Oryzias latipes: one gene and its partner. The protein of the gene in region 1 interacts with the protein of each later gene in a pairwise test. Links are inferred from orthologs where the notes say so. Each region holds a gene or a part of one and is shown in the gene's direction. Other genes may lie near its edges.

What was found.
Region 2: the proteins of ccdc174 (region 1) and eif4a3 interact in binary tests that used the Homo sapiens proteins (3 or more experiments, as listed by UniProt). The two-hybrid records come from large-scale screens. The link is inferred for Oryzias latipes from reciprocal best matches to the Homo sapiens genes CCDC174 and EIF4A3.

What each region holds. Positions count from the first base shown.
Region 1 is NC_019863.2:3,864,978-3,868,510, reverse strand, and holds part of ccdc174 (coiled-coil domain-containing protein 174), read left to right. Parts: intron 1-897; coding exon 898-1,034; intron 1,035-1,149; coding exon 1,150-1,244; intron 1,245-1,597; coding exon 1,598-1,730; intron 1,731-2,828; coding exon 2,829-2,981; intron 2,982-3,533. UniProt on the Homo sapiens protein: Probably involved in neuronal development.
Region 2 is NC_019859.2:157,773-163,161, reverse strand, and holds the start of eif4a3 (eukaryotic initiation factor 4A-III), read left to right. Parts: upstream 1-2,171; 5' UTR 2,172-2,274; coding exon 2,275-2,428; intron 2,429-3,302; coding exon 3,303-3,375; intron 3,376-3,448; coding exon 3,449-3,515; intron 3,516-3,598; coding exon 3,599-3,661; intron 3,662-3,743; coding exon 3,744-3,876; intron 3,877-3,941; coding exon 3,942-4,022; intron 4,023-5,196; coding exon 5,197-5,338; intron 5,339-5,389. UniProt on the Homo sapiens protein: ATP-dependent RNA helicase. Involved in pre-mRNA splicing as component of the spliceosome. Core component of the splicing-dependent multiprotein exon junction complex (EJC) deposited at splice junctions on mRNAs.

The sequences.
Region 1 (3,533 bases):
GCGCACAATGTAAACATGGTATCATTCACATGTGTTTATTAGAAATAGATTTTATATCAGATTATAACTTTTCATCACTTCATATTTGGAATGCTGTACTAGTCCCAGTCCATACAAGTGTTCTAAATTTTAAAAATACTCATGAAGTTACAGTGTTGGTCAGTTTAATCAATTTTCTGATATATTATAGTGTAAGATAAAGTTTTTTCATTTGACCGTAACAGTATTTGATTTACATGGAAATAGTTTCTGTAACCAGCTGCTTCAATGTTTAGTAAAATGTTTGTTTTTAATTTTTAAAGAGTTTTTTAAATGTCCATCATAAGAGCCAGTTGATATTAGACTTGTAGAAGAAATAAAGATGTAAGAACTGACATCTGAGTAGGTTACATTGCTGTTGAATATTGGTGTCGAAGGACAACCAAAAATTGGGGAGGAAAACCAAATATTACTTTCCAGGACAACCATTTTTTTCCCTTATTTCTAACGCTGTGATGTCTCCTGAAAACATCTACAATTCTATTAAAAAACAAGAAAACCTCACAGTACTGACATGGGATTATGCTTAAAGTCCCACTCGGATCATCTTTTGATCTATTTTTAAATCGTCCCCAGTGGTCTTTCAATTACAATGACGTTGTTTTTGGCCCAAATAAAAAAAAAAAAAAAAAAAAAACCTTTGTTGATTTTTAGGACATAGTTTCTGAGGAGCAGCAGGAATTCATCAGAAATTCCCCTCTGGGGGGGTGGAGAAGGGAGCTTGTGGCCCACTCAGCTTTTATATAAAGCTTCATAATGCGCATTGCCTTCGTTTGGGCCACATTTGCTTCCAACAGTCTGGGTTCTGTAGCTTCACCATCCACATTTTTAGCCTTTAACTAGAACTTTTGTTTGCAGAATAATCTCATCTGACAAGACTTTATTGTCGGAGGACATGCGCCGCGAGCTGCAGAGGCAGGAGTGGGAAAGGGAGGAAGAGGAGGCCATGAAGAGGCCGGTCGGACCGATCCACTACGAGGATATCCGAGCTCAAGGTTGACTTCATTTCAATTGGATTTTTACAAAATGAAAGAAAAAAAAATGGAAAACCTCATTTTTGCTGTGATAACTTGTTATTTTTTCTTCTTCTTCTACTTCTTGGCATGTCAGAGGCTCGAGAGCTCGGTGTTGGCTACTTTGCTTTCTCTCAGGATCAAGAGCAGCGCAGGAAGCAGAGGGAAACTCTGGACATGCTCAGGGATCAGGTGGGTTGTTTTTCTGCAGTGAAAGCTCGCTCAGAAAACGTTTGTCAATGTTCAAAAGATGATAAATGTGGATGAAAAGACATTTTAGGAAGAGTACAAAAAAAAACAGTCCTGTACATAGCAATCAATATGGAGGCCAAAGGAGAAGAGAAAACGTTATTTACTAAACAGAAATGTTACAGAAACATATTTATCTCAAGGCCCCACTTTAAGATTTTGCTCCTAAGATCATGTCTGATTTTCTTAGTTGTTAAAGTCCTCGTTCCCTCATTCTGATGAACAAAATAACTGGATTGGAGTCTAAGTAGATGATTATTGGACCTTCATCGTCATCCTTTCATCTTCACCTTCAGACAACCGATCAACGGACCAAAAGAGAACGACTGAAGGAGAAAAGGCAGGCCATCCTGAAGGCTAGACTCGCCAAGGTGAGGCAGAGGAAGATGAAGAAGGCAAAGTTAGATGGCACTGAGGAAGAGAGTAAAGGTAAGTCATTTCAATATTTACTGAAAGCTAATACATTTATGCAGTAAACTAGAATCATCGATACGATACGTTTTCTTCAGGAACGGCCTTTTTTATTTATTTTTTTGTTTAATCTGATGGGTCGACTCAGAATTGGTTAGTTTGGCTCAGATGCAGCTGCGCCGCTCTGTCTCCAGCAATGTCCCGCCCACGCCGCCGTCTGATTGGTTATGCAAGCCACGCACTCAGACTTCTGCGTGTCATGCTACTAGCAACCGGGGGGGGTCACTTTTAACACACTAATGCATTAATAACACGTTAATAACATGTTAAACAAAGTGTTAACGCTAGCTTTTTGTTTGTGTTTCAACTTCTCACAAAGAGAAGTCATTTCATTCATGCTTTGGAGTTTTACTTTATTTACTATAAAAACTTTCTGAGAACTTTTAATTTAACTTTTAAAAAGTAACAAACGATGCTGCTGAGCCTTTTACTCCCCGCATTTCTAGGAACTATTGGTTTGCTTTTTTCATTGACTTGTGTTTTAAATACTCAGTTAATTGTTTGTGCTGGTATTATCAAAATGTTGACTTTTTTTGGACAAATGACTATCAGCTCCAAATATCAGTTATTGACTACTAATAATCTGTAACAGCCCTAGAAAAACAATATGGCTCGATCTGTCCTGTAACAGGCTTCCTGCCTAGTCATAAAAGGTCCTAAATGCACTGAATTTGGAATAAACACCTTAAAAAGTCCTGAATTTAAAATTGTGCTGTTCGAAAACGTCTCCGTTTGACATTTCTTGATGGAACTTCAATTTTTTAATGTTGTTTGTTTTTGTAAAATAATCTAAATAAACATTTGTAGATCCAATCGTTATGTACCAAAACACTGAAGGACCCCCGCCAGTTTGAAAGACAAAGAAGGGAGATGTGCGCTAAAGCATCGCCGCACAAACAGGATAAGAAGCTACAGCTTTGAGCATAAATCAGGAAAAAATGGAAAATTGGTCTTTACTAATTGCTCTGCACGCCCATAAAAAGGTCTAAATTTAAACTTGAAGAACGTTCTCTAGTCTCATGCATGTTGGGATTTCTTTTTCTTTTCTTTTTGCAGACACAGTAGAGGAGGAGGAAACATTCGGACCCTTCCCTCAGCCTGATGACCCCCCAGAGGTCAGCACTCTGAAGAGAGTGGAAGTGGAGATTCAGGAGAGGAGGGACACCAAACCAGGAGTCCCTCACATCAGGGAATGGGACAGGGGCAAAGGTAAAACCCCACTAGGATGGGAAAAAGGATTCAGAAAAGCTTCTATTATTTTTAGCAGATTCACAATAGCTGCAGCTACATTTGCAAAATATCTTTGATCGGATCAAAGATCAGATTAGAATTAAACTGTGTTCATGGGCCCAGACGGCCAAAACAGGTTTAGATGTTTTCTAGAATCTAAATGAAGTTTTGCGCACATGTCTGATTAAAACGTAGAGACTGTTTTACCAACAATCTTAGCCGTCATCTCCTTAGTAACAGCCTGGCAGTAAAAAAATGTTGTACATGACGTAGAAGCAGGTCAGTGAAATATGAAATTAGAATTTATTTGAAATTTTTCTGATTTGAAATGGTTTATTTCAAGCAATCACTGAATAAAGCACAAAACAATACAATAAACATTCATACATTCATTCAAAGACGTATCAAACTTAGGATAATTAGACATTAAATCAAAGATTGCTTGTAACGGAGTGGAAGGAAGAGAACTTCTATAATCCCACCTCTGTTCTACCGTAACCATTTTATTACATGATTGATCATTATCATAAC
Region 2 (5,389 bases), on another chromosome or scaffold:
ACATGACCTTTCCCTGCATCTCAAATACAAACTTTATAACCCAATATTTTAATTATTTAGGAAAGAAACAAAAACAAACTAAATATTTACAACTTCCCATTCCTCCTAAAGCCAAGGAAGTCCACTTTAAACCAATTCCAAGGAATTACTAAGAAAACGGTTTGGAATTCCTGAAAACTGTTCTTTTTGTTATGAAGATATTGAAACAACTGAGAATCTTTTCTTTGAATGTTTTTACTCTCATGGCTTTTGGGACAATATACATTATTGGCTCTTCCCTAAAATTACATGTTTAGCAGACTTTTCTATTAAGGATATCATTTTGGGGTTTATTTAAAAAACCAATCATTTTAAATGTTGTAATTATTTTGGGTAGATTCTATACACAAATATCGATTCCTTAACATCAATCCATACTTTTTTACATTTCATGAAGAACTCTGATCTTTTTCTTCTGTAAACATCATCATGGAAAATAAACTTGCTATGGAACTCCTAAGTATCATGATTTCATAATTTACAGCTTTTTGATAATCCCTAAATTCATGATCATTGCAATGCCCGTGGATATCCCCTTTATTTTATTTTAATCCGTCTTATTTAAGTTTGTATTTTATTTCTTTATTGTTTTTTGTATTTGTTTTTACTTAACTTTATTAACGTTGTTAACTTTTTTCTATATCTGTGTAACCGAGCGATGGGGGAGGTTCAATAATCATTCACTCTGTGGTCATAAACGACACGGGACAACAGGTCCGCCATTTAGTGGATCCGCTCACCAATTCTTTATTCTTCTTCTTCTACTCTCCCAAATTTAACTTGCCACGCCCCCTGGTCTCTAGGGTAACCCGGGAGGGACACACCTCTCCCAAAATAAAAGATCCAGGAAGTTGGTTACATACGTCCACCCTTTCAAAAGAAATGTCCTCATTTCTACAATTTCTACAGGAAATGCAACAGGCCGGGGAGTGCAAAAAAATAAATAAAATAAATGAATTAAGAAATAAACATTCGAGACCCAATATGGCGTCAACAAAAGTCAACCAAACAGGAACAACATGAGTTTACAGAACCCACCGGCAAATTTCCCACCACAGGAGGGAGAGGAAAAAAAAAAATCTGAATAATAATACAACATTGCCTGCCAACCAACAGCATATTATTCAACAGAATCTTTCAAGGAAGGAAAACACAACAACATATGACAGTCTCCTCACAACACCAACAAAAATTTCACTGTGACATAACTCTGTATTGTTACATCCTAATAAAGTCCTGATAACGTGTTGGAGCACGCACCATTCTGCCACTGCGGGAGTGTGCAGGGGCTGTCCCAAACGCGTCCCTCTGACCCTGTTGGGGTGGATCACCATTATCTGGGGGGTCCAATGAAGTACCCGCCGAAGGAGAGGATGATGGCGGGGTGGACATACTGTCGTTTGGGGAACCAGCAGGCAGGGGAAGAGTGTAACGTTTTAACCTGTCATGATGAACAACCTGGGCCCGCTCAGACATATCCAGGGGGTTGACAATGCGATATGTCAAAGCGGCCTCTGCACCTGAAGCCAGAACCCGATCCACACGATAGGGACCTTTCCAGTGCGGTGCTAGTTTTGTGCGGCCCTCTGTTGGGTTATTAAGCCAGACCAGAGCACCCTCTGTAAAGCCCTTGTGGTGAGAGTTCTCATCATGGTACAGTTTCTGTTTCTCCTGCGCCTCTGCTGCATTAACCCTCGCTGCACTGAAAGCAATCTCCAGCCGCTCCACAAGAGACGACGCGTATAAAGGCAGCGTGGCTGCACTGCCAATGCCACCAACCCCACTAGGAATGAGAACCTCTGCCGGGGTCCGGGCTTCGCGCCCGTGCATAAGATAAAAGGGAGTAAACCGTGTGCTGGTGTGCTTGGAGATGTTGTAAGCAAAAGCAACAGATTTCAAATGGTCATCCCATTCCCCCCCCATGGGACAACAACATCTTGGCCAGCTGGTCAATTAGGGTAACCCGGGAGGGACACACCTCTCCCAAAATAAAAGATCCAGGAAGTTGGTTACATCTGTTTTAATTGTGGTTTGACACTTTATACAGCTGCCACAATATTGTAAACCTCAAATGTTTTTTCCAAACGAAAAACAATTGCTCTTCCGCCTGATAAACCTGGTCGCCTGCTGATGACGTAAGCAGAGCGACACGTGGAGCGCTGTTAGTAGCTAGCAAAGCGGTTACCCCCCTTTTGCGGAGACTACCGATTCGTTTTGAAGACAGACACGACCGTCATGGCCGCTGCTGGGACACCGGGCAGGAGAAGACTCCTGAAGGAGGAGGACATGACCAAGGTGGAGTTTGAAACCAGTGAAGAGGTGGATGTCACCCCTACCTTCGACACCATGGGGCTCCGTGAGGACCTGCTCCGGGGAATCTACGCCTACGGTAGGCCGGTGGATTCGAGAGGCCTCCGCCTCCAGATGCTAAGCCTAAATCCGCTGTGTGGTTCAGTTCACCTTAAAAAAGGAATGAAAACGTAGTTGGTATCAGACTACATCCCGTAATAACTTACATTAAAGCGGGTAGATTGGTGTGACCTGATCATTTTGTCGTTGGCGGGAAGAAAAACTTCATCTTTTTAGCCTTCATGCTAGCATGCTAAGGCCGCGTGCGGCCGCGCTGACATGAAATTAGTTTAAATTCGTGTTGATTATTTACTAAACGAAAACCAGATACTAAAATTTGCGGGTTTCGTTCAGTAATGCCTGGACACGATCTTTGTTGGTATTGTTGCTCGTAACAGTCATGATCCAGGAGTTAGACGGTTCCCATCCTATATGGCTTCGTATATGTAGCGAATATTTTACTAATTTCCCCCAGAACTATTAATAAATATATGTCAACACTTCTGTCTTAATGTGTATTTTAATTTTGTTTCTGTTCATGTGTTCTGTCTTCTCCAGACGGCAGAACATTTTATGAACATATTATCTGGACCCAAAAGGACGGGAGAAATCCCAATAGACAGAATCGATCAGATTTGTATCTACAGTAATATTGAAGTGTTGCACTGATAAAGATGAATTCTCTACATTTTCCTGGACTATTGTGCTTGAGAGGATCCTTCTTTACCCCTAAAACCCAGTTTCTCCATAGAAATCCTTTCTGTGGGACTAAAACTTTTCTTTCTGGTCAGCATCACCAGAACTTCCCACTTTGGTCCCCCTCAGTTTGAGCAGCATGGGAACTTCTCAGATGAGGTTTCTCTATGTGGAAATGAAGATGGACAGCACCTGACCAGGTTCTGGTTCTGTTACAGGTTTCGAGAAGCCTTCAGCCATTCAGCAGAGAGCCATCAAGCAGATCATCAAAGGCAGAGATGTCATCGCTCAGTAAGTCTGGGCTGGAAAACATGCAGGTGCTCTGGTCCTCCATGCTGTAACGTGTGATCTGTGCTGCATTCAGGTCCCAGTCTGGAACAGGAAAGACGGCCACTTTCTGTATTTCCGTCCTGCAGTGTCTGGACATCCAGGTGAGTTCTTGCTGTTCTTGTGTCCCGTGACAGACGGGCCAGAACCCGTTTGCAGCTCGGTGGTGATGCTGTTCCTTCTGCAGGTCAGGGAGACCCAGGCTCTAATTCTTGCTCCAACCAGAGAGCTGGCCGGACAGATTCAGAAGGTAGCCCCGCCTCCACCGCCATGTTCAGCCAAAGGCTTGTAAGGTAGAGGCGGCGGTGCCAGTCACGGTGTCCTGTGTGCAGGTGCTGCTGGCTCTGGGAGACTACATGAACGTTCAGTGTCACGCCTGCATCGGAGGAACCAACGTGGGCGAGGACATTCGCAAGCTGGACTACGGCCAGCACGTGGTAGCTGGCACCCCTGGACGGGTTTTTGGTGGGTTCAATGGGTTTTATGGCAAAAGTGGCACAAACGGGAATGCTGACGGCGTCTCTTTACAGACATGATTCGGCGCCGCAGTCTCAGGACCAGAGCTATCAAGATGCTGGTGTTGGATGAAGCTGATGAGATGCTGAACAAAGGTGAGGTCCTCTGCTGTTCAGCGTCTTCTGTACCTGCAAAGCAGCTCTGTCTGAGCTGAAAGCTCACCTGCTGGTCATCAGAATAACTCTGGCACCTTTGGTTACGTCTGAAATGTGTTGAAGGAGCAGGAAGGGTTGGTCCTTCCAGGTTGGAACCACCTGTTCCAGACACACTTGAAGGTCACCTTTCCTTTCAGTGGTCGTGTTTTCGGCTTAATGTGTCAGATTTGAAAAGTCCATTTGACGCCATCGGGCCGCGATGTCACCACTTCCTGTTTAGGACGTTTAAAGCAACACTTCAGTGAATTTTAACGGTGACATGGAGATGTTCTAAGTGAAGGTTAGGAAGAACCTTCAGCAGAATCTTCAGCAGAACCGCTAGCAGGGTCAGAACTTTAAATTCATGTCTGTAGTGTTGCTAGTGTCACTGCAGAGAATGGTTTCAGATTTCTGCTTTAACATTCCAGATTCGTGGGGGAGCAGAGCTTTTGGGGGGTGGGGGTGGTGGTCTCTGTAGCGCATGGGGAGGTCTTCATCTCACCACCACACATCTTTGCTTGGCTGTTGGTGTTTTTGCTCTTCGTCGCCATCAGATCTTTTTCATTCTAGAATCCTGGACGGATTTTTCTACGAAGGCTTGAACTTTAAGAGAAAAGTCTGGAAATGTTGACAGCTAGCTTGTGGATTTCACCTGTGGCCGGTTATTTTAGAAGGCAACTCCCGCGATGGGAATGCTGTAGTTGAGTTCCGGCGTGACTGCACTTCCTGAATGACCCTGGTCAGTCAAAGCCGCCGTCATGGCTGAAGTTCTGGCAGACCGTCCTAAACTACGAGCTCTCTGAGAGGTTTGGGGCCGGCCTCAGAGACGGAGATGCTTCTGGGTCTCAGGGACCAAAAATCAGGAGCAGCCTTTCTCCGGTTTGGAGCACCTGACATCTCTGAGACTTCATTTTCAGTCTCTGACAGCAGAAACAAACCAATGTGTTTTTTCCTTCTGCTTCCTTGTTTCCATCATTTCTGCTTCTTCCTGGTCTAATCTTCAATAATAGGCTCATGATTGGACAGAGTTTGGTTATTGGTCACCTAAATCACTTCCTGTTTGTGGCGTAAGGACACGATGGCGTCAGTCATGTGACCATCTGGGTAGTCACAGCCGCTGCTTTGTCTTTGGCAGGATTTAAGGAGCAGATCTATGATGTGTACCGCTACCTGCCTCCAGCCACGCAAGTGGTCCTGATCAGCGCCACGCTGCCACACGAGATCCTGGAGATGACCAACAAGTTCATGACCGACCCCATCCGCATTCTGGTCAAACGGTGAGTCCGCCGATGAGCTCTGAAGCGGTGGGCTTCCAGCAGCAGTGAGTG